7 linked regions of the Macaca fascicularis genome follow. The protein of the gene in region 7 interacts with the protein of the main gene of each other region in a pairwise test. Links are inferred from orthologs where the notes say so. Each region holds a gene or a part of one and is shown on either strand. Other genes may lie near its edges.

What was found.
Region 1: the proteins of EXOC5 (region 7) and TXLNB interact in binary tests that used the Homo sapiens proteins (3 or more experiments, as listed by UniProt). The two-hybrid records come from large-scale screens. The link is inferred for Macaca fascicularis from reciprocal best matches to the Homo sapiens genes EXOC5 and TXLNB.
Region 2: the proteins of EXOC5 (region 7) and RAB4A interact in binary tests that used the Homo sapiens proteins (3 or more experiments, as listed by UniProt). The two-hybrid records come from large-scale screens. The link is inferred for Macaca fascicularis from reciprocal best matches to the Homo sapiens genes EXOC5 and RAB4A.
Region 3: the proteins of EXOC5 (region 7) and EDRF1 interact in binary tests that used the Homo sapiens proteins (3 or more experiments, as listed by UniProt). The two-hybrid records come from large-scale screens. The link is inferred for Macaca fascicularis from reciprocal best matches to the Homo sapiens genes EXOC5 and EDRF1.
Region 4: the proteins of EXOC5 (region 7) and TNPO2 interact in binary tests that used the Homo sapiens proteins (3 or more experiments, as listed by UniProt). The two-hybrid records come from large-scale screens. The link is inferred for Macaca fascicularis from reciprocal best matches to the Homo sapiens genes EXOC5 and TNPO2.
Region 5: the proteins of EXOC5 (region 7) and PTK6 interact in binary tests that used the Homo sapiens proteins (3 or more experiments, as listed by UniProt). The two-hybrid records come from large-scale screens. The link is inferred for Macaca fascicularis from reciprocal best matches to the Homo sapiens genes EXOC5 and PTK6.
Region 6: the proteins of EXOC5 (region 7) and RAB14 interact in binary tests that used the Homo sapiens proteins (3 or more experiments, as listed by UniProt). The two-hybrid records come from large-scale screens. The link is inferred for Macaca fascicularis from reciprocal best matches to the Homo sapiens genes EXOC5 and RAB14.

The regions. Positions count from the first base shown.
Region 1 is NC_088378.1:43,308,908-43,312,407, forward strand, and holds part of TXLNB (beta-taxilin), read right to left. Parts: intron 1,893-3,500; coding exon 1,773-1,892; intron 1-1,772. UniProt on the Homo sapiens protein: Promotes motor nerve regeneration. May be involved in intracellular vesicle traffic.
Region 2 is NC_088375.1:19,804,956-19,807,620, reverse strand, and holds the end of RAB4A (ras-related protein Rab-4A), read left to right. Parts: intron 1-582; coding exon 583-698; 3' UTR 699-719; intron 720-1,539; 3' UTR 1,540-2,165; downstream 2,166-2,665. UniProt on the Homo sapiens protein: The small GTPases Rab are key regulators of intracellular membrane trafficking, from the formation of transport vesicles to their fusion with membranes.
Region 3 is NC_088383.1:134,692,555-134,696,054, forward strand, and holds part of EDRF1 (erythroid differentiation-related factor 1), read left to right. Parts: intron 1-1,100; coding exon 1,101-1,212; intron 1,213-2,668; exon of another isoform or gene 2,669-2,696; coding exon of another isoform or gene 2,697-2,729; intron 2,730-3,500. UniProt on the Homo sapiens protein: Transcription factor involved in erythroid differentiation. Involved in transcriptional activation of the globin gene.
Region 4 is NC_088393.1:13,102,777-13,106,276, reverse strand, and holds part of TNPO2 (transportin-2), read left to right. Parts: intron 1-1,913; coding exon 1,914-2,020; intron 2,021-2,113; coding exon 2,114-2,247; intron 2,248-2,326; coding exon 2,327-2,408; intron 2,409-2,481; coding exon 2,482-2,604; intron 2,605-2,711; coding exon 2,712-2,830; intron 2,831-3,500. UniProt on the Homo sapiens protein: Probably functions in nuclear protein import as nuclear transport receptor. Serves as receptor for nuclear localization signals (NLS) in cargo substrates.
Region 5 is NC_088384.1:119,662,504-119,666,003, forward strand, and holds part of PTK6 (protein-tyrosine kinase 6), read right to left. Parts: exon of another isoform or gene 3,179-3,500; intron 2,798-3,178; coding exon 2,644-2,797; intron 1,870-2,643; coding exon 1,708-1,869; intron 67-1,707; coding exon 1-66. UniProt on the Homo sapiens protein: Non-receptor tyrosine-protein kinase implicated in the regulation of a variety of signaling pathways that control the differentiation and maintenance of normal epithelia, as well as tumor growth.
Region 6 is NC_088389.1:36,808,744-36,812,196, forward strand, and holds the end of RAB14 (ras-related protein Rab-14), read left to right. Parts: intron 1-680; coding exon 681-858; 3' UTR 859-2,953; downstream 2,954-3,453.
Region 7 is NC_088381.1:125,050,627-125,053,642, reverse strand, and holds part of EXOC5 (exocyst complex component 5), read left to right. Parts: intron 1-655; coding exon 656-764; intron 765-937; coding exon 938-1,153; intron 1,154-1,915; coding exon 1,916-2,104; 3' UTR 2,105-3,016. UniProt on the Homo sapiens protein: Component of the exocyst complex involved in the docking of exocytic vesicles with fusion sites on the plasma membrane.

The sequences.
Region 1 (3,500 bases), on a different chromosome or scaffold from region 7:
CCACCAGATTATATTGCTCAAAATTTGTCTTTTTGTTGCCATGTTTGAAAAGTTATTTTAAAATTACTATTCTAACCAATTGAATTGATTCTGGTCTGATTTTGGGTAAATGAAAAGCTCAAGATCAAAATGTGAAATGGCCAAATTTGAATAATTGGTCCATGGACTATGTTTTACCTCTCTCTCACCCCAGCAACAGATACATGCCTCAACTCATACCTCTGAAACACACATCTGAGTGTGATGCATCGTCACAGAGAGTGTGGGCTTTGGGAACAGACGCACAGAAGATCAAAACACATCTTGCTCAGTCAGCAGCGTGTGACCTTTACAAGTTGCGTATCTTCTTGGAGCCTCAATTCTCTCATCCGTAGAATGGCCTTACAGCTTTTTAGGGGGTGCTTGGAGTTAATGAGATATCAATAAACACTGCCACTCAGTTTCCTCAGGTCAAAACTTAGGAGTCATCCTTGACTCTCTCCTTTTCTCTTTGTCACCAGCTTCAGGTCTGCAGCACTGCCTGTTGATTTCACATTGAAAACAACTTTCATCCATCTCCAACCCTCTTCTCTGCTGCCATATCCCTAAACCAGGTCATTGTCACATTTCATCTGATTGCTATAGTAGTCCCCTAATTGTCTTCTTGCTCTTTTGTCCCTCTGCAGTCTATTTTCCATCCAGGAGCCAAATTAATCTTAGCAGATGCAGAGTAGATCATGCCATCACTTCCTTTGCAGAAGTACCCAGTACTTTCCCATTGTATTTAGAATGAAATCCAAATGACTTTTTACGCCCTACAAAGCTACCCAGTTTGGCCCCTGCTTACCTCTCCAGCTTCATTTTGAACTTTTCCCCCATGCTCTTGCTTCCCTGACCTTTTCCTGTTTCTGGAGCACACCAAACTGGCTCCAGCATTAGGGTGTTTGTTGCTGCTGCAGATGCTGGAGACGATGCTCCAAGTGGCAGCTCCTCATCGGGCAGGGCTTAGCTCAATCAAGCATTCTTCCCTCCAGGAGGCCTTCCTGGTCACTCAATCTAAAGTACATCCCCTTCTTTGGCCCCTTCTCAGTTTCTCTTTATTTCCTTAGTAGCAGTGATTATTGTCTGTAATGACCCTTCCTTGTTTGCTCGTCTATTGCCTTTCTTTTTCCAGTTAGACTCTGATCTCCATAGTGGGAGATGGCCCTTCTCTGTCTTGTTCACGGCTATGTCCCAGCACCTAACACAGTCCTTAGCAGATAACAGGCACTTGAAAAATATGTGTGGAATGGATGCATGACGATTTTATGTAGAAAGTAGTGTAGATACAGTGCCTCAGACTGGGCTGGCTAATTTAGTTCTCCATAGAAGTTGGGGCTCTTTCTCCATCAGTCTAGTGCTCTTTGACCATTATAAAAACAACTTGCAGCCGGGCGCGGTGGCTCACGCCTGTAATCCCAGCACTTTGGGAAGCCGATGGGGGTGGATCACCTGAGGTCAGGAGTTCGAGACCAGCCTGGCCAACAGGGTGAAACCATGTCTCTACTAAAAATACAGAAAAAGTAGCCGGGCATGGTAGTGGGCGCCTGTAATCCCAGCTACTTGGGAGGCTAAGGCAGGAGAATTGCCGGAACCTGGGAGGCAGAGGTTGCAGTGGAGATCGCACCACTGCATTCTAGCCTGAACGACAGAGACTCTGTCTCAAATAAATAAATAAATACAAAACAACTTGCTCAGAGTGTCTCTGACACTGAGTTGGAGCAGATATGCAGAATGACTAAAATGATAAGTACATATTCCTTTTCTCGTTTGTGTCGCTCCTCTGCTTCCTTCATCATTTCTTGGGCCTGCTCAAGCTTTGCATCCACCAGCTTCTGCTGCAGTTCTCTGTGTTTAAATATTTTGTCCAGATGCTAAGAAAAATAAAGTACACATAGAAAGTTTGGTTTATTATTGGTGCTTAAAAATGCAAAATAAAATAATTCACATTAATATACATTCTCCAGGTTTTAAGATGTAAAAGAAGAGAGGGATAAATGCATTGGCATCACTTACAGCTTTATACTAAAGCTGTAAATTGGTGAACCACGCCCACCCCCAACTTTGCACCACACACACAAAGGTAGCTACAAAAGGTAGAGGCACCAGAGTTCAGCAGTGTCAACACCAAAAGATCCATACAATATTTTTCTACATTTGGTAACTATTAGATATGATGCTATTTATTATGTTAGACAGCGCAGACAATCATCTATCAGTATACAATATACAGGGGCTGCAGTTGTATTATTTGGTATTTTGGCTCTTTCTGTGACTATAAAACCACTTTTAATCACAACATTGGTGCAATTTATCATGATGAATTCTCCGCATTCTTGCCTCTGGCGTTGTGAGAAAGTCTTGGGGTGCCAGCATGTGGTCTGAGGTCTGGGAGTGAGGCCTGAGCCCCCCTGAATTCTACTCTGTTGCTCTGGTGGGGATGACAAGGCCAAGGGTCATAGAGAAATTGATTTGCAAATATGCAGAGCTCGCCACACCTTTTGACCTCTGGACTAGTTTGGTGAAGAGAAACTTACAACTCTACCTCAGTATGGATAACTTCCTGGTCACTAGGAGGTCCCATCAGAAACAGGACATGGAATTCTACCCTTGGGCTTTACTTAGAACCAGTCCCAGGAATATACAACTAGTATAGCAGCCCATTCCCATCTGAGATCTCTCTGAAGAGTATGGATATTTTGCTTTCACTCCTTCCTTTCTTCTTTAGTCTGAACCTCCACTCTGGAGCAGGATTGATCCTCGTGACAAGATAAAATGGTAGCATGGCATTTTGGCTTACTGTGAGGAGTTTCTTGATTTACCTAACCACTGCGACCATATGCTGTTGGCTCAGTTTTGTGCTTGATAAAATCTTAGCATGTTGCCAACGGAGCCGCTTTGACTATGTTATGTTACATTTTAAAGCAGAGATTTAAAATTTGGGTGGGATAGGGAACAGAATATGATGTATCAAAATCCTGAGAGGGTATTTGGAATCTTAAAAACATATTAAATATTAAAATATAATTTGGTGATAACAAAAGACGTTGATCATCCCCCTAATATAACCTATTCAAAGTAAAAGGCTTTTGGCTCTTGTGACTGTGGGTAAGTGGTTTAATCTCTTAGCTTCTGCTTCCCATCTATAATATATTATTAACTAGTGCATAAGATTGTTGAGACAATTAAATGCCATATTGTATGTAAAGTTCAGCACTTAGCACATTGCCTGATACAAACTAAGCACTGAATAAATGACATAATTATTATCACAATGATGACATTATTAATACTATTATTGGCCTAGTAGGGTACAGACTCTTTTTTTTTTTTTTTTTTTTTTTTGAGATGGAATCTCACACTGTCTCCTGGGCTGAAGTGCAGTGGCGTGATCTCAGCTCCCTGCAACCTCCGCCTCCCAGGTTCAAGCGATTCTCCTGCCTCAGCCTCTTGAGTAGCTGGGATTACAGGCACCCACCACC
Region 2 (2,665 bases), on a different chromosome or scaffold from region 7:
AATACTTTTATATATATATATATATATATTTTTTTTTCATGTGCATGAGTCTGTGTGTCAGACAGATACGCAGAAGTGGAATTGCTGGGTCAGAGAACATAAGCATTTGGGATCTTGGTGTAGAGGTGGTCACATTTTCTCCTAGTGATGGGCTTATTTCACTAAAGCCACGTCCACAGTGTGTAGTATCATCATACTTGGACTTTTGGCCCATCCGATAAGTGAAAAATTGTATCTTTGTAATTTAATTTTAAATTATTTTATATAAATAATATATTCACATAATTTGAAATTCAAGAAGTATAAAAGAGTATGCAGTGGAAAGTCCTGCTGTTACCACCCCCTCCTGTCCCCGGCCATCTAGAACTCCTCCGAATCAGCCGTTCCTTATGTATCGTGCTAGAGACGTTTTGTGCCAGTGCAAGCAAACATGTAAATTGTTTTTTCCTCTTTATTCAGAGTGGTGGGATATATACACAGGGTTCCGTACTTTGCTTTTTTTTTTTTTTTTTTTTTTTAATCTATTTTTGGGATCTCAGAAACATAAAACTTTTTTTTAAAGAAGACTTGCTTGGTCCTTAGGTGAGCTGGACCCAGAAAGAATGGGCTCGGGTATTCAGTACGGAGATGCTGCCTTGAGACAGCTGAGGTCACCGCGGCGCGCACAGGCCCCGAATGCTCAGGAGTGTGGTTGTTAGGAGCCATGGGAGAGCGCACAGGTGGGTTCGGACACCTCACTGCCCTGAGTTCCTGACAAGCTGAAGTGCAGAGGCCTGTGAAAGCTTTGGGAAGCTGCAGTATGAAAAAGAGAGGATCCCAGCCAGGTCCAGTGGCTCTAATTCCAGCACTGTGGGAGGCTGAGGTGGGCCAGTCGCTTTAGTTCAGGAGTTTGAGACCAGCCTAGGCATCATGGTGAAACACCATCTCTACAAAATACAAAAAATTAGCCAGGCATAGTGGCATGCACCTGTAGTCCCAGCTACTCATGAAACTTAGGAGAATTGCTTGAGCCTGGGAGGCAGAGGTTGCAGTAAGCCAAGATCGCACCACTGCACTCCAGCCTGGGTGATAAAGTGAGACAGTCTCAGGAAAAAAAAAAAAAAAGAGAAGGAGACTATCCCATAAGTTAAAGTTGGATGTTCTAACTGAAAGAATTTACACCCTATAGGAAATTCTCATGTTCTTGTTCAGAAAGAAAGGAAGGGCAGGTGGTGGTTGACGGGAGAGGGTGAGATATCCTGATTCCTTATGTCAGTGAGGAGCCTTTCCTGGATTGATTGAGGTCTAAAGGAATGTGCCTTTTGCTAAAACAGGAGACCCATTTATGAAATTGACAAATGTCTCCCTTGAACTTTTTAAAGCTTCTTCTTTTTTCCCATTTACCACAGTGGACATTTTATTTATAGTCGACATCATGTAGTAGACACAGACAAGTATTGAAAGACGAGATATTCACAAATTCTCTTTTAGGCTTTAAGCTGTATTTACTTTTGCATTTATAATTGTGCAGATTTTGACATTGTTCTTATTATTTTTTAGGTGTTCATACAGTGGCATTTGGGACACAATCGTTGGAACCTGAAGAACCTGAAGTTTTTTTACCACCATCCTTTTCTACTCTATATGGAAGTAGATCTTTATGGGGAAAAGAGAATTTGGGGTGTTCTGCAAGCTGGTCAAAGTGGCACAGCAAATCATATAAATCGAATTAAATGGACAACACCGTTAGATGTGTATGTAAAAATTTTCTGTTTCATATTTTCCCTTTCACTTTCGGTTTAAAACATGCTATAAACATGCTATAAACATGCTATGTACTGTATGTCCTGTAGCCCAGTGCGGCTCCGCAGCATGGAATCTGATGTATGATATGATAGAATGTGGCACTAAATGCAGTTTCAGATTTTATTTTTTTTAATCATATGAACTAAAATTGTCAGTTGTGAGGTGTGCTCTTCTCATCATGTTGGTTATATTGCACAATTGGTTATATTTATGACCTGATATTCAAAGACTCTGGCATTGATAGCCAGTGTGTTTCTTATTTAATTCTGTTTACTACATTCTACATGGTGTTTACGTGATCCACACTTGAAATACTAGATCAGTAGACATTCACTAACATACCAAAAACAATAAAATGAAAAATGGAGTTTTTCCGTGAACTTTATACTGTCCAGCTCTGTTGATTTTAAAGCCTCTTCATCCAGGTCAGTTCAGGAAGTATATCTGGAGTACCTGCTCTGTTTTAGGCTATGAGACTAGCACTAAGGATTCTGGTACCTTTACGCAAACCTACCGGGCTACTAACACTTCTCTCAGCGGTGGATAAAATACAATAGACCATGCAAGCTGGGGCCGCTCATCCATTTCCAGTTTGCTGGTCTGTCTGGTCTCCCTGCTAGAAAACACATTGTTTGTACTGTGCTTTTTCTGGAATTCAGTAGAATGGCATCACTGCCTGTTTTTCATATCTTTTGTTTCCTGTTCATTTTAAGGAAACCTGCTAAATCCAGTTAATATGAAAAGGACACCACTCATTAAGAAATTTCTTTATGGCTTCTGCTGAATACTTAAATGCCTTACTACAGTTATCAAGTTGACATGTTTTTAATTCATTTAAGGTATATTGGGTATATTGAAGTATATATTGTATTACAAAGAC
Region 3 (3,500 bases), on a different chromosome or scaffold from region 7:
GGTATTTAAATTCTTCCTTTAAAATCTGTTCCATCAGGCTGAGGTTGCAGTGAGCCAAGATCATGCTACTGCACTCCAGCCTAGGCGAAAGAGCAAGACTCTTGTCTCAGAAAAAGAAAGAATCAGTGTTCCATCTGTTTGGGCATCTTCCTCTTTCTCTAGGTTTTTTCACCTCCCTCCTTCCCTTGCCAGTTGAAATGGCCGCATTAAGGAAGGAGCTACTATCAACAAATGCTGAAAGGCAGGCCTATAGTCGAGTCTTCATTCTAGACCTCATTGAATAGAGCCAGAGGTTTGTTGGACTGAACTAGTCTTAGGTCTGAACCTACGACTTGTGAGAATATTCAAGACAGTTTATTTAATTAGTTAGAGAGTTTCCTACTAACTACTTGTGAGCATTTTGCTTAATGCTCCACATGTATTTGTTGACATTAGCCAGTGTGAATTCTAACTTAAGCATGGTCTTGTATGGTATTCAGTCTTTCTCAAGTTGTGTGAGGAGCAGGCAGTAGGCTGACAGTCCTTTCCTATCATATTGTCTTCTATTCTTACTGAAAACTTACCAGTGTCAGTTAGAAATACAAGCAAGCGGCCAGGCGCGGTGGCTCAAGCCTGTAATCCCAGCACTTTGGGAGGCCGAGATGGGCGGATCGCAAGGTCAGGAGATCGAGACCATCCTGGCTAACCTGGTGAAACCCCGTCTCTACTAAAAAAAAATACAAAACACTAGCCGGGCGAGGTGGCGGGCGCCTGTAGTCCCAGCTATTCGGGAGGCTGAGGCAGGAGAATGGCGTGAACCCAGGAGGCGGACCTTGCAGTGAGCTGAGATCCGGCCACTGCACTCCAGCCTGGGCGACAGAGCAAGACTCCATCTCAAAAAAAAAAAAAAAAAAAGAAATACAAGCAAGCTTTTGGAAAGTTGTTAAGTATAGCACAACCACTGAGCTGCATGTGCATATCTTGTCAGAAAAGAAAGCATAGATGGCGTTTTCTATCAAGAGAGGACAGCTTAAAATACTTAAATGATAAAATAACTTTCAGATGATTCATTAAGGAACATCTTAATTAAACCAAATAACGCTAGAACTGTATATTTTTAGGGATAACAACAAACCAATTAATGTGCTAACTGGAATTGACTATTGGTTGGACAACTTGATATGCAATGTACCAGAGCTTGTGATGTGTTTTCATGTAAACGGAATTGTACAGGTAAGATACAGTGTGATTTTTGTAACCTCTCAAACGCAAATTGGTACAGAGAGTTCCTCACCAAAGTCTTTATGGCCTTAAAGTACTAAGGTACATTTTTGGCAGGGAAGATAGCTGTGAATAAACTGAATTTGAGTGTACATTTAAGTTGGTGATAACAGAATTCTAGATGTTCTAGAAGTGTAATTTTACAGGTAATTTGGAGGAAGTTCATAAATGTATGAAAACCTGCATTTGTAGCCATAGAAGTCTAATTTTAATGCCAAGCACTCATTAATAATTAACTGAAAGTGTCTATACAATGGAGGCGTTTCTTCATTATGCAAATATCTACTCAGTACACGCAAAGTTTTAGGGAAGGATCTTGTAAAAATTGTGTATGGTAGATAGCTTATATAGCAAATTCTTATTCAGCATATTCTATTTAGAAGACATGTATCCCCATTATAAGTGTTGGGGGAAGCCAGGCATGTTGGCTCATGCATGTAATCCCAGGCTACTCAGGAGACTGAGGCAGGAGGATCACTTGAAGCTGAGAGTTTAAGACCAACCTGGGCAATGTAGTGAGACCCTAACTGTAGAAAAAAAACCCACACACTTAGCTGGGCATGGTGGTGCATGTCTGTAGTCCCAGCTACTTGGGGGCTTGAAGCAGGAGGATCACTGGAGCCCAGGAATTTGAGGCTGCAATGAGTTATGATCGTGCCACTGCACTCCAGTATGAGTGACAGAGCAAGACCCTGTCTCAAAAAAATAAAAAATTTAGAATTTAAACAATAAATAATGGTTGAAGGAAAACAAAGAATAAGTTTGGTTGTTACTCAGAAAGAGATAATCCAATGGGAAATAATATGCAGAGAAAACAGTCGGAGACAGATAAGAACGAGAAGTGTAATACACACACACAAGTCTAGATCATCAGAGGAGGGGCTGAGCACTGACACTGGAAGAAAGACTTGGTGGAAGAAGGGCCATCTTCACTGAGTCCTGATAATAGGTAGTATCCCAAAAAATAAAAGCTGGATTTCAAAAGTCTAGTGTAAATACATGAAAGGATTGATAATAAATCCAGCTGGGGAACACAGGATTTAGGTAGCACAATAGCTGCAAATAAGGTTGGAAAAGTCATGATCAAGTGATGGAGATCTTAAATGTTGAGCTAAGGAGTATGGACTTGGTTCAGTTGGTAATCTGGAATCAGTGAAGGCATCTAGGAGGGGAAATTTGTTGTGTTAGAATATTAATTTAGAGATAGCATATAGGATAGACAAGGAGGACTTAGAGACAAGAAAACCGGAGGCATTGTACCATTTTGCTAATAGTATAATGTACTTCCACTAGAGAGGAACTGTTAAGAATCAACAATGGTAAGAATAGATAGCATTTATTGAGTGCTTATTTGATCCCAGCACTTTGCTGAATGCTTTAAATGCTTTACCTTATTTGATCTTCTTAGCTACCTCACATGCTGTTATTCCTATTTGATGGAAAGAGAGACTGAGGATCAAGGAGCTCAAGTGAGTTGCCCAGGGTCACCTTAGTAGTGAGTGGCGGTGCCAGTCTTTGTGCCTCTCTCTGGCTGAGGACATGCTTTGAACCATTATATTCCAACCCAGTGATTCTTAACCTGGTTGTGCATCAGAATCACTTGTAGCCTCTTTAAAAATGTTCTTGCTTGGGCCCCCAGTGTTCTAGTATCAGTAGGATGTGCACCTCTTGTCTTTTCAGAAAGTCTGGTATATGATTCTGGTTTGCAGTTTTCATTGAAAACCACTGTTAGACCATCTCCCTAAATGGCAACATTTAGTGGGAGGCTGAGGTGGGAGTGGGGAGCAGGAGAAAAGAGACAGGCAGATAAAGCGTTAACAAGGCGGAGGGGAAGAGGAGTCAAAGGGGAATCCAGGGTTTAGGGGCTAGAATAATGGTGGTGTCATTTAGTGAGAGAAGGATGTTGAATTGGTTTAGACAGGGAAGGTAGTATGTTTTTGTCACATGTTCAGTTTGAGGAAAGTATAAAAATGTCTAGTGAGCATTTTGAAGTTGCAGCCATTAGAGAAATAAATTGAAGCATCATCTACCTAGATACTGTCAGATTTCGTCACCTGAGAATCTATTAAAATCAGGCATTGGAGCCTCTCCCCATAGGGGTAAAAATAGAAGGGCATTTAGAGAGAGAGAAGGAGAACAAGAATAGCGCAGATTAAAATATGGGAAAGGAGTGTTTTGAGGAAGGAAATAATCAACATTGGGGACTTCAGTGAACAAAGTGGGGTGAAAATCAACCTCAG
Region 4 (3,500 bases), on a different chromosome or scaffold from region 7:
TGACCTCGTGATCCGCCCGTCTCGGCCTCCCAAAGTGCTGGGATTACAGGCGTGAGCCACCGCGCGTGTCCGAGGCTGGTTTTCTTTATCTCTTCTGAGGGCTGGAAGCGCTGAGGTGCAGAGAGTGAGGAGATGTGGCTAAGGTTCCACGGTCCTCACTATACCTACCCACTGCAGGGAGCACCTTTCTGTCATGGACAGTTTCCACCCTTGGGAAACAGTGCCATCTTGTGGCAGTAAATAACCATCTCTGCACTTAACAGAACCCATATCCAGCTCTGTCACCAGATACGTGCACTGTCCTGGCACCTCAGATGCCTGCTGTATGTGACTCCTGGATGTCTAATAGGCAGTACAAGCATCCCTGCCACCTTCCTGCCTTACCTCCTTTCCCTCTCTCCCCTCCCACTCTCTGCCCAGCCCCAGTGGCTCCTTACCTATCTGTTAGCACATCATGCCTGTCCTTACGCCAGGCCTTCGCACCATAGAGTCCTCTGCCTGAGATGCCCTTTTCCCAGAGACCTGGATGATTCCTCCCTTGCCTGCTTCACCTCCTTCAGGTCTTGCCTCGATATCAAGATGTCACCTCAATGAGGCCTGCTCTGGCCACCCAATTTAAAGTTGCTAGCTTCACCTACAGCCCTTTCTCACCATCTTTTCTGCTATATTTCTCCCCTTTAGTCCTTGGCATGTGGCCCCTCCCAGTTGTTTGTTTTTGTTTTTGGTTTTTGAAATGGAGTCTTGCTCCGTCCCGGGCTGGAGTGCCGTGGCGCGATCTCCGCTCACTGCAACCTCCGCCTCCCAAGTTCAAGCAGTTCTCCTGCCTCAGCCTCCCGAGTAGCTGGGATTACTGGTGCCCCCCACCACAGCCAGCTAATTTTTGTATTTTTAGTAGAGACGGGGTTTTGCCATGTTGGCCAGGCTGGTGTCGAACTCCTGACCTCAAGTGATCCACCCACCTAGATCCCCTAAAATGCTGGGATTACAGGCATGAGCCAGCTATGCACGGCCCGTCCCAGTTTTTTTGCTAATTTATCTTTACTTCGTAGCTTACTTCCAGCTCCCAAGGGTGACGATTTTGTGTTTTGCTCTGTGCTGTGCTTTAGGGCCTGGAACAGAGTTGACTCACAGTAAGGTTCAGGGTGCTTACTGAGTCAAGGAGTACCCTTCTACCTATGTCAAGGCCAGGAGCGGTGGCTCACGCCTGTAATCTCAGTGCTTTTGGAGGCCGAGGCAGGAGGATTGCTTGAGGCCACGAGTTTCAGGCCAGCCTGGGCAACATAGTGAGATCCCATCTCTACAAAAAATGTTAAAAATTAGTTGGGCATGGTGGCATGTGCCTGCAGTCCCAGCGACTCAGGAGGCTGAGGCGGGAAGATGGCTTGAGGCCAGGAGTTCGAGGCTGCTGGGAACTATGATTGTGCCACAGCAGTCCAGCCTGGGCAGCAGAGCAAACTCTATCTCTTAAAAAAAAAAAAAAAAAAACAGGCCGGGCGCGGTGGCTCAAGCCTGTAATTCCAGCACTTTGGGAGGCCGAGACGGGCGGATCACGAGGTCAGGAGATCGAGACCATCCTGGCTAACATGGTGAAACCCCGTCTCTACTAAAAAATACAAAAAACTAGCTGGGCGAGGTGGCGGGCGCCTGTAGTCCCAGCTACTCGGGAGGCTGAGGCAGGAGAATGGCATGAACCCAGGAGGCGGAGCTTGCAGTGAGCTGAGATCCGGCCGCTGCACTCCAACCTGGGCGACAGAGTGAGACTCCGTCTCAAAAAAAAAAAAAAAAGGGGGGGGATGTGGAGGGCATACATGGGCTAGGGGACAGAAAGGCAGCACTGGGGGTGCCCAGTGGGAGGGGAGGTGCTGGGCAGCCCCCGCCCGGCCTCAGGCAGCGTCCTTTCCTGGCCGCCCCAGGCATTCTCATCACCACCATCGCTTCCAAGGGTGAGCTGCAGATGTGGCCCGAGCTGCTGCCCCAGCTCTGCAACCTGCTCAACTCGGAGGATTACAACACTTGTGAGGTAGGCGAGAAGCCATAGATGGCCGGAGCGGGTATGGGGGGCTGGGACCACCACCCACCACCCACCTTTGTCTCTCTGCCCCTCTGCACTCAGGGAGCCTTTGGAGCCCTGCAGAAGATCTGCGAAGACTCATCAGAGCTTCTGGACAGTGACGCGCTCAACAGGCCCCTCAACATCATGATCCCCAAGTTCCTGCAGTTCTTCAAGCACTGCAGTCCCAAGATCCGGTGGGTGCAGCTCTCTGGGGGCTTCAGGGAGCCTGGAGTGGGCAGGTTCAGGGTGACCCGTGTGTCTGCTCCCCGCCAGGTCCCACGCCATCGCCTGCGTGAACCAGTTCATCATGGACCGGGCTCAGGCGCTGATGGACAATATTGACACCTTCATTGAGGTGGGACGCTGGGCTGGGGGTGGACAGGGTGAGGACCAAGGGCCCCTACAGCTGACCCTTTTCCTCCCTGCAGCACCTATTTGCCCTGGCCGTGGATGATGACCCCGAGGTGCGGAAGAATGTGTGCCGCGCCCTGGTGATGCTTCTGGAAGTGCGGATCGACAGGCTCATCCCCCACATGCACAGCATCATCCAGGTGTGCATGGTCGAGGCCAGCCCAGGAAGGCAGGCAAGGGGCCGGTGGCAAGGGTCAGGGAGCCACCCCTACCCAGGCCAGGCCTCAGCTTCTCCCCGCTATCACAGTACATGCTGCAGAGGACCCAGGACCATGACGAGAACGTTGCCCTTGAGGCCTGTGAGTTCTGGCTGACGCTGGCCGAGCAGCCCATCTGCAAGGAAGTCCTGGCCTCCCATCTGGTCCAGTGAGTACTGCTGCTGTCTACTGTCCCACCCCAGCTTCGACCCCTTTCTATGCCTCTGCCTTCCCTTCTGGTCACCTGCTATGCTTCTCTCAGTCCACATCCTTGTCAGTTTATATTCAGTGTATATTTATGTGTAAGTGGCAAGAATGCCACTTTTTAAAGACTTCAAAATTAGGTAACTGTTAGGTGGAAAGAAACGAAAAATCAATGGCCGTGCACGGTGGCCGACGCATGTAATCCCAGCATTTTGGGAGGCTGAGGCATGGCGGTCACGAGGTCGGGAGATCGAGACCAGCCTGGCTAACATGGTGAAACCCCATTTCTACTAAAAATACGAAAAATTAGCTGGGTGTGGTGGCCCACGCCTGTAGTCCCAGCCACTCAGGAGGGTGAGGCAGGAGAATCGCTTGAACCCGGGAGGCTGAGGTTGCAGTGAGCCAAGGTCACACCACTGCACTCCAGCCTGGGCGATAGAGCAAGACTCCGTCTCAAAAAAAAAAAAAAAAAAATCAACAAAGGCTTCAGGTGTGGCTGTATCCAGGAGCTCAAAGGATATGAAAGGCATCTATGTGGTCTCAGATCTGCTTCCCTTGTGTTGTCTTCATTCTTAGGCACATAGGTACAACCTTTCCTCTGGGTAGTGCTGTAGCCTTCTGTGCCCTTGCAGCTT
Region 5 (3,500 bases), on a different chromosome or scaffold from region 7:
TGCCCTCAGCCACCTGCCAGGCGATGTCCAGCAGCTCCGAAACGGGCAGGACTTTCTTGTCAGAATCTGCAGAGGGGAGGGGAGCCTGGGGTCAGCTGAGCCAGCTGCGGTAGGGACGGGGTGGGGAGGCTGGGCTGTGTCTCATCTGCCTCCAGGCTCTGCGGCCTCAGAGGAGGGGCCGGGGCAAAGGGCAGCTGGCCTGGTTGAAAATTGGAACTGCAGGTCAGCCACCGCCCTTGTGGAAGGCAACTGTGTGTCAAGAACCAAGGAGCAAGCCAGGTGTGGAGGCTCACGCCTGTAATCCCAGCACTTTGGGAGGCTGAGGCGGGTGGATCATGAGGTCAGGAGGTTGAGACCATCCTGGTGAACACGGTGAAACTCCATCTGTACTAAAAATACAAAAAATGAGCCGGGCGTGGTGGTGGCGCCTGTAGTCCCATCTACTCGGGAGGCTGAGGCGGGAGAATGGTGTGAACCTGGGAGGCGGAGCTTGCAGTGAGCCGAGACCGCGCCACTGCATTCCAGCCTGGATGACAGAGTGAGTCTCAGAAAAAAAAAAAAAAAAAGAACCAAGGAGTGGTTCCTAGTGGCCTAGCCCAGCGATTTCCTTTCTGGAAGTTTGCTATGACGCGGGAGAAGCTCGACGCGGAAGGACCAGCGAAGAAGCTCATGACTGCGTGATGTAGGCGGCGGGAACTTGAGCAGGATAATGGCTGAGTGACAGCAGCATGCGGCCTGGTGGTGCCTGTTAACCCCCCGTTCCGTCCCGGAGGACCCTGAAGGGCGTGGGGACTGTCTGAGATGATCACGGAGCCTTTCACTCAGAGCTCAAACGTGAGTGGCACCTCAATGTAGCTCTCCTCAGACACACACGGCATTTTTCCTCCACCACAACGTTCCCTCCCATTCTAACATTGGAATCCAAACTGCGTCTTCACGCACGGGCATCTCAATTCCCTGCAGCGATTGTCTTTGATTTTGGTGATAAAGGAAATAATGGAACTTAGAGACGATGAAGTCTTTGAGCCAATGTGATCTGTGTGTGTGTGTGTGTGTGTCTGTGTGTGTCTGTGTGTGTGTGTCCGTGTGTGTGTGTCCGTGTGTGTCCGTGTGTGTGTGTCCGTGTGTGTGTGTGCCTGGTGTGTCTGTGTGTGTGTGTCTGTGTGTGTGTGTGTGTGTGTGTGTGTGTGTGCCTGGTGTGTCCATGTGATCTGTGTCTGTGTGTCTGTGTGTGTGTGTCCGTGTGATCTGTGTGTCTTGTTTGTGTGTCTGTGTGTGCATGTGTGTGCATGTGTGTCTGTCTGCATGTGTGTCTGTGTGTATGTGTGTGTGTCTGTGTGTGCCTGGTGTGTCCGTGTGATCTGTGTCTGTGTGTCTGTGTGTGTCCGTGTGATCTGTGTGTCGTTTGTGTGTCTGTGTGTGCATGTGTGTGCATGTGTGTCTATGCATGTGTGTCTGTGTGTGTGCGTGTGTCTGTGTCTGTGTGCATGTGTGTCTGTGTGTGTGCGTGTGTCTGTGTCTGTGTGCATGTGTGTCTGTGTGTGTGCATGTGTCTCTGTGTGTGTGCGCGTTTGTCTATGTGTCTGCGTGTGTGTGTCTGTGTGTGTGTGTGTGTGTGTGTGCGTGCAGACGTGGGGGTGTGTGTGCACTTTATTTCCTCGTGCACCCCCTTTACCTCCAGCGAGAGCCCCGGCCCGTGCCACTCACCACGAAGCAGCTCCAGCAGGCTGCCCTTGCCCATGAGCTCCGTGATGATGTACACAGGGTCCCCCACGGACACCACGGCGTACAGTGCCAGGATGTGTTTGTGCCGCAGCTTCTTCATGGCCTGGATCTCCGACTGCAGCGTCTGCTGGTGCAGGAGGTTGTCTGCGGGGATGGGTGGCCTTGGCAGGTGCAGCCCCTGACCCTCCCCTGGCCCCAAGGAAGAGGCCAAGGCAAGGCTCTGCCCACACACTCAGCAGCTGTGCAGAACACCGGACCTCCTGCCCCCGACAGGGCACCTGGCTCCTGAGGCCACAAAATGGCGGACACAGCCGGCCCCACAAGCCACCAGCCTGGCGTACCCATGGGGCCGTGGTGGCCCCCCAATGTCTTCCTGCGCCCGGCCCAGACCTCTGACGTGGAGGCCAGACCTCTGCTGGGGCCCAGGCAATTTCCAGGGAAGCTTTTCTTTTTGAGAGGGTGTCTCGCTCTGTCACCCAGGCTGGAGTGAGTGGGCGCCATCTCGGCTCACTGCAAGCTCCGCCTCCCGGGTTCACGCCATTCTCCTGCCTCAGCCTCCCGAGTAGCTGGGATTACAGGCGCCCGCCACCTCGCCCGGCTAGTTTTTTTGTATTTTTAATAGAGACAGGGTTTCCCCATGTTGGCCAGGCTGGTCTCAAACTCCTGACCTCATGATTTGCCCACCTCGGCCTCCCAAAGTGCTGGGATTACAGGTGTGAGCCACTGTGCCAGGCCTGAAATTTTCTTTTACAATAAATGTATTTAGGTAAAAACAGGTGCAGTTGAAAGGGAACCACTCCTGCATGGGTGCTGTGGGTGCTGCGTGGGGCTCGAGGCCAGAGGTCCCTGTTGGCGGGGCGGGAGGGTGGCCCAGGGCGGGCACGGGGCCACACAGAGCCCTGACCGGGGCTCACTCACCTCGAGAAATCACCTTAATGGCCACCTGGACCCGGTCTTTCCAGAGCCCCTCGAAGACCTCCCCAAAGTAGCCAGACCCCAGCTTCCTGCAGAGCGTGAACTCCTCCCTCGGCCTCTCCCAGTCATCCCAGTGGGGCAGAGGCTCAGGCTCACGCTGGAGGGAGAGTCGGGGACACAGGGCAGAGGCTCAGGCTCATGCTGGAGGGAGAGTCGGGGACACAGGGCAGGGGCTCAGGCTCACGCTGGAGGGAGAGTCGGGGACACAGGGCAGGGGCTCAGGCTCACGCTGGAGGGAGAGTCGGGGACACAGGGCAGGGGCTCAGGCTCACGCTGGAGGGAGAGTCGGGGACACAGGGCAGAGGCTCAGGCTCATGCTGGAGGGAGAGTCGGGGACACAGGGCAGGGGCTCAGGCTCACGCTGGAGGGAGAGTCGGGGACACAGGGCAGGGGCTCAGGCTCATGCTGGAGGGAGAGTCGGGGACACAGGGCAGAGGTTCAGGCTCACGCCGGAGGGAGAGTCGGGGACACAGGGCAGAGGCTCAGGCTCATGCTGGAGGGAGAGTCGGGGACACAGGGCAGGGGCTCAGGCTCATGCTGGAGGGAGAGTCGGGGACACAGGGCAGGGGCTCAGGCTCATGCTGGAGGGAGAGTCGGGGACACAGGGCAGGGGCTCATCCTTCAGGAACTGCCAGTCTGAAGCCAGCGCAGGGAGCCTGGATTTAGCCTCAGATTTAGAGCCACGTTCAGCTTGGGTTGGGGGTTTCTGAGTGTCTGACACGAGGCTGGACTCTCCCGGTGGCTGCCCCAAGCCCAGCACAAAACACCCGGAGAGACTGAAGCCAGGACCCTGCAGAGTG
Region 6 (3,453 bases), on a different chromosome or scaffold from region 7:
GCATGTTTGGAGAGATTTCATTTCTGTTTGGAGTATCCTCTCTGTTATCACAGAAATGACATATCTCAGTCGTCATGGTGTGTATTAACATACAGTATTTTAATGATTGCATATAACACATGTAGTTGTCCAAATACGATTTGTAGAAAGGGCTTTCGGTACATGTATGTATGTATGCTTTCCACAGAAAATAGTTTTCCGGCCGGGCATGGTGGCTAACACCTGTAATCCCAGCACTTTGGGAAGCCAAGGCAGGCAGATCATGAGGTCAGGCAATCGAGACCATCCTGGCCAACATGGTGAAACCCTGTCTCTACTAAAAATACAAAAATTAGCAGGGCGTGGTGGTGTGCTCCTGTAGTCCCAGCTACTTGGGAGGCTGAAGCAGGAGAATCACTTCAACCCGGCAGGCAGAGGTTGCAGTGAGCTGAAATCACACCACTGCACTCCAGTCTGGTGACACAGACTCTGTCTCAAAAAAAAAAAAAAAAAGAAAAGGAAAAGAAAATAGTTTTCCATGTTCTCTTAGCTCAGTGTTCTGGTAATCTTTTACTAGATGACAATGGTTAAGTTGAAGACATCATGGCAGTTAACTAAAGATTAACAAAAGGTCAGTATATAATGTCTTGTCTTTTGTAGAAAACTGTGGTTCTCCAATAAAGTTATCAATTGCCTCTTAGGGGAGAGAATGTAGAAGATGCCTTCCTTGAGGCTGCCAAGAAAATATATCAGAACATTCAGGATGGAAGCTTGGATCTGAATGCTGCTGAGTCTGGTGTACAACACAAACCTTCAGCCCCGCAGGGAGGCCGGCTAACCAGTGAACCCCAACCCCAGAGAGAAGGCTGTGGCTGCTAGTGACCTCTTTGCCGTGGCCCCTCATTTGACCTTTCACCTCTGTCTGTTGAAAGCAGTACTTTTTACTGCCTCATTGTCTTCTGTACATCTTACTGGGTTTAATTAAAAAAAAAGAAAAAACAAAAATCTGTTGTAAAAACAGTTTAACACAATACTAAACTGCTAAACAACTAGATGTAATCAGGTTATCAAAGGCAAGTAGAGTAATAAATCTCTCCTGCATGGTAAATCTAGACTTTTTTTCCCCCTTGTCCTCGTGATAAGTATGTCACCAATATATGATTTAAACTGAGCACTGATGCTGGACTTCATGATTTTTTACCCTCCCTCTTTGGCAAGGCTTTGTCTCACTGTACGGTTTAATTTGATGATATCTTAAGCCTTTCTACCCATCCTTAACTGTTCAAGTATGTCTGTTGTAACCAATAAGTTTATTGCTGTGAAATGACTTCTGATGGTAGAGAAGGGGTTCTATAACTGCTTTTGTTTTGTTTTGGATAAATTTCCTGTTGTGTGGGTGGCATTTTTCTTGACGAGGTTTGCTTCTCTCTTAGCCTCGCACAGGGAAAATATCCATTTATCTTATCTCTCGTGCTTAATTAATAGCTTTATCTTTTTTTATACCATTTTATCCTTTTCTCTTTAACAGAAAGTAAATATGTATAAAATTTGAAGGAATCGAACTAACAATACATTCTGTGTATATTATTTTAATGAAGAAAATAAATTGATTACTGGCATTGGAACAGTATAAAATACCAGTTTGTACAGTATGACCTATATGTGACCATGTTACTCCCTTCCATTTCACACAAAGAAATAGACACACTGCAGTTCACAAGTAGTACTGGCTCCACCCCTTGGTGCTGGCAGTGTTTGGGGACATTATGCTGGAAAAAGCTCCTAGCATCAGAGGATTAACACTAGCAGATTCTGTTCCATCTTTGCACTGTTGCTTACCTGCTGATTTTCTTAACTGTTCTTGTGCAATCGACAATGTGCTAACCTGCTTTTCTCTTTTTGTAAACGTTTTTGCATTACAGGCTGCATTCTTGCCTTACTGTATAGGAAAAGAAAAAAGGCTGGGTTTATTATTGCACATTTTAAGCTTTTATACCTTTATCGTCTTGGAATGGTCAGATTCTGAACTGGACAGTCAGAACCACAGGTCTGCTGTTAAGGGATTTTAAATTGTGCATTTTTAACACTACAGTGAAATAAGATATCCCTGTGTTCATAGTATGAGGGGCTGTTTTATGTCATGTTGGCATAAATTGTTTCATAAAAGGGAAAGTGTTTCTAAAGGTGTTTCAGTGCTTGTGCTGATACAAAGTAAGTTATTACTTTGCACTAGGTGGTTTGGCCACTGAATTAATACTGTATAGCAAGAGAAACAATCTTATTTCTTTGTACAACAAACATGTTTAAGTTCTTCATTTCTGTTGATTTTTCTTACTGTGTTTGATTCAGTGGCTGGGAATTGAGAGTTTATTTGAAGTAGAATAGGTAACACCTCAGCGCACTATAGAAAATGCACTCAGCTCAACTGCTGTGTTTAAAATACACATTTTAAATCCCTCTTTACAGACACTAACATAAAAGTACATCTTTTTGGGTTGTAAACATGTGGTAGTACCAGAGTATTGTATAGTCAATGTTAAATAAAAGCCAAAACTGGAATGTGCAGAAAATAGGCTTTGGTTAATTTGTGGATTCATTTTTATTTTTGTCTTTAACTTTTTAAAAAATAGGATTTCTGGAGTAGATTGGTATGTTCTGTTAAAGACTACAGTGATCCATTTTGCTTACACTGTTGCATCACAAGGGATTCACCCAGGGACCATGACCTGCTGGTGTGTGTGTATATTTACAAAAACAAAACAAACAAACCACCCATTGGGATATAAGGTGGCAATCACAAACGAAAGACTGCGGCTTGTTGAGGTGCAATACCCTGACTCCCAAAGTTAGTTACAGTGGGTTTTATTGTTTTTGTGACCGAAGGATTTATTCAGACTGCTGTACTCTTCATTTGATGTAACAAAATGCTATTAATCTAAATATTTGTAAATAAAGTACCTGTATCTAGATTAAAGTTGGTTGCATTATTTTCTGAACTATAATAGGGTTTATTTTCTTCAGGTGAACAAGTTGATGTGTCATCAGTTTTTATTGCAGCACTGTCTGTATTTGTTGTATAAAGAGAGGTCTACATATGTAGCATATAAAACCACATCACTAATAGAGCCACAGTTTTATTCTTGTGTTTGCATCACCCTTGAAATGTTTTCAGTCAACCATTTTCAGTGTAAGATCAGCACATTTGCTGGCTGATGCTGTTCTCCCTTGACTGTACTGGGAGCCAGATTCTATCATACGCATGTGTAATCCCCTGTAATAAACTCGGGTGCTCACAAATAGAGCAGACTGTCATATTGTAACATGTGTGTGCCAGACACTGGGCAGTACACTTTGGAAAGAATGTGAAATCCTTTTAATTTTTAATCCATAGCTTACTGCTTGTGCAGTCACCTGCTTCTCGAGGTTACTCATTGCCCTTGGACCTGTGAGGAGGCCCTCAGATTAGTAATTGGT
Region 7 (3,016 bases):
GCTTACTGGTAGCATATAAATTCAGAGTCAGGAATGATGGTGATGCCAGACAGCCATGGATTGTCCACATGGGTGTCTGAGATAGTGACATCTTTGCTTTCTGATGGCTCAGTGAACATAAATGTTTCATGTATAAAACTATTAAAATATTTTATAAAATTACTCTCAGTCTACATGTATAAGATGTATATGAAACATAGATGAATTTTGTGTTTAGAATGGGTCCCATCCCCAAGGTATCTTATTATGTATATACAAATATTCCAAAATCTGAAAAATTTCAAAATCCAAAACACTTCTGGTCCCAAGAATTTTGAGAAAGGGATAGTTAACTTGTATGTGGTTTTTGCCTTTGAAGATCCTTAGTTGTTAAGAAATTAAACTAGTGACAGGCTTCTGAGATCTTTGAATCTTGAAGTATTGCACAAAGAATTTTTGCCCTCTGTTTTGAGCAGAAAGATAATAAAACCAAGAGCTCTTTCATATTAAGATCTAGAGCTGACTTTTTCTAATATCTAAAGTTTACCAATAGTGAAAGAGTTTTATGGTGATAGGATATTAAATAACTGATTTAATTTAGCATAAATAATATAATTAAATATAAACATAGAATAAGTTAGATGAGTTAAAGAATGTTGTGTTCTCAATTCTCTAGGACATTAAATTGTATGATTGGACAGATGAAGCATATTTTGGCTGCAGAACAAAAGAAAACAGATTTTAAGCCAGAAGATGAAAACAATGTTTTGATTCAATATACTAATGTGAGTAAAATGATTCAATTTGTTAATACTTTGCTAACATTTTCATTGGTGTATCCTACTGTGCCCTAGATTTTTTTCTTTTATACTTACAGATTAATGAGAAACTTATGTATTTCCTCTTTAGCTAAGCTGGTATACATTTCTGTGTAATGAGTGTAGAAAAACTTTTATAGGCTTGTGTAAAAGTCTGTGCTTACGTAAGAAAACAAGTGGAGAAGATTAAAAATTCCATGGATGGGAAGAATGTGGATACAGTTTTGATGGAACTTGGAGTACGTTTTCATCGACTTATCTATGAGCATCTTCAACAATATTCCTACAGTTGTATGGGTGGCATGTTGGCAATTTGTGATGTAGCTGAATATAGGAAGTGTGCCAAAGACTTCAAGGTATGTATACACAAAAACATCAATCTTGCAAATAGGCCCAGGAACATAAGTCAGATCATTAAAAATCACTATTTACTTACAATTAGTGAAAGGTTTATAACTTTTGTTGATATTGTATGAGATAGATTAACACATTCTACCTGAAACAGTGTTGTTCCAGTCATTTTCTTTTAATTTTAAATTTTAAATTTTATTTTATTTTCCAGAGACAGGGTTTCACAGTGTTGCCCAGGCTGGTCTCTCCTGGGCCCAAGTGATCCGCTGCCTCAGCCTCCCAAAGTGCTGGGTTTACAGGAATGAGCCACCACACGTGGCCCACATATTTAATATTAAACACATTTTTGCTTCACGGTGTATTTTCAGTTCCACAGTCTTTGACTTATTGACATCCATGACTAATGCTGTATATGTCACACATTAGGAAAATAACGTTGTCTTCATTTATGTCCCTCTGAATTTTTCTGTAACATTTAAATTATGAAAAATGCTATATATTAATAACTAGTTTTAGTCCACTGAAGTATATATGATTGTTACATTGAAGAGAATTGACATATGAATCTTTTTGAAATATTATAGTAAGTTTATTTAACTACGAAATCTTTAAGTTTTAATGCTTTGTGATCTTTAAAAAAATTCTAATATGTTGAACTCCACGCACACTAGTAAGTCCCACCTGACAGTATGTAAGAAGTTAGAAGCTAATTGTAAAACTGGAAACTGTTTTGTTTCAATGTTACTTTCTTTCTTCTCTCAATTCAGATTCCAATGGTATTACATCTTTTTGATACTCTGCATGCTCTTTGCAATCTTCTGGTAGTTGCCCCAGATAATTTAAAGCAAGTCTGCTCAGGAGAACAACTTGCTAATCTGGACAAGAATATACTTCACTCCTTCGTACAACTTCGTGCTGATTATAGATCTGCCCGCCTTGCTCGACACTTCAGCTGAGATTGAATTTACAAAGGAATTCAATGTCAGTTCCTTTACAGAGGAATTTCTTGTACTTCAGCAGGCCTCGGTTGATAGAAAGCACAGGAGATACCTTATGACACAGCCAACATTTTGTGAAACAGTGACTGGAACAAAACAGCAGCCATACTTACCTTTGAGGTTTTATTTAAAGTTTGGATACCACTAACTATATTTTGCTTTTTTCCCCTTATGTTGAATTTTAATTCCATTCTTGAATGTAGAAATTTCAGATTCTTTAAAACTACATGTCACTGTTTTCATCCTAGAAAATGTTGCTGTCAGAAGGCAAAGGAAATGTTACCAGTGTTTTCGGTTCTTGTACCTTTAACATATTCCATTTAGAAATTTTGCCATTCTGTTTTCCATTAATAATGGGCAAAATACAGGAAAACTACATTTATTATTCCTCAGTTTTTAATGACCTTTTCAGCATCAATTGTTAATCAGGTTATTTTAGGTTTTCATAAATAATTTTTTTGCCTCTTTCAAAAGGTTAACAATTAAGTTTACTTTCTGTAGTTGGTTGATTGGATTTTTTTCTGAGGGACAACATTAGTACTAGTCCAAAAAATGTCATAAACTGAACTAAAATGATGAAATATTTTATGTAGACATTAGGAGTGGATCAGAATACTTCTGCTTTCTGGGTAAAACTTAAAAGTTTACTATTTCTTATTTGGTAAATAGATTTTAAGCCAATTCTAGTAAGAAATTGATAAAACTACCTTATTTTATATTTCACTTAAGGTGGAGGACCTTAACTAAAGGACCATATTTATTCATTATTTTAATATTATAAGGGAAGTAAAAAAAGTGAGGTATAGTCTAAATAGTGCATATAAGAAATATTGACAGTGTTTAGCAACAATGCAGCCCTTTAAGATTTTC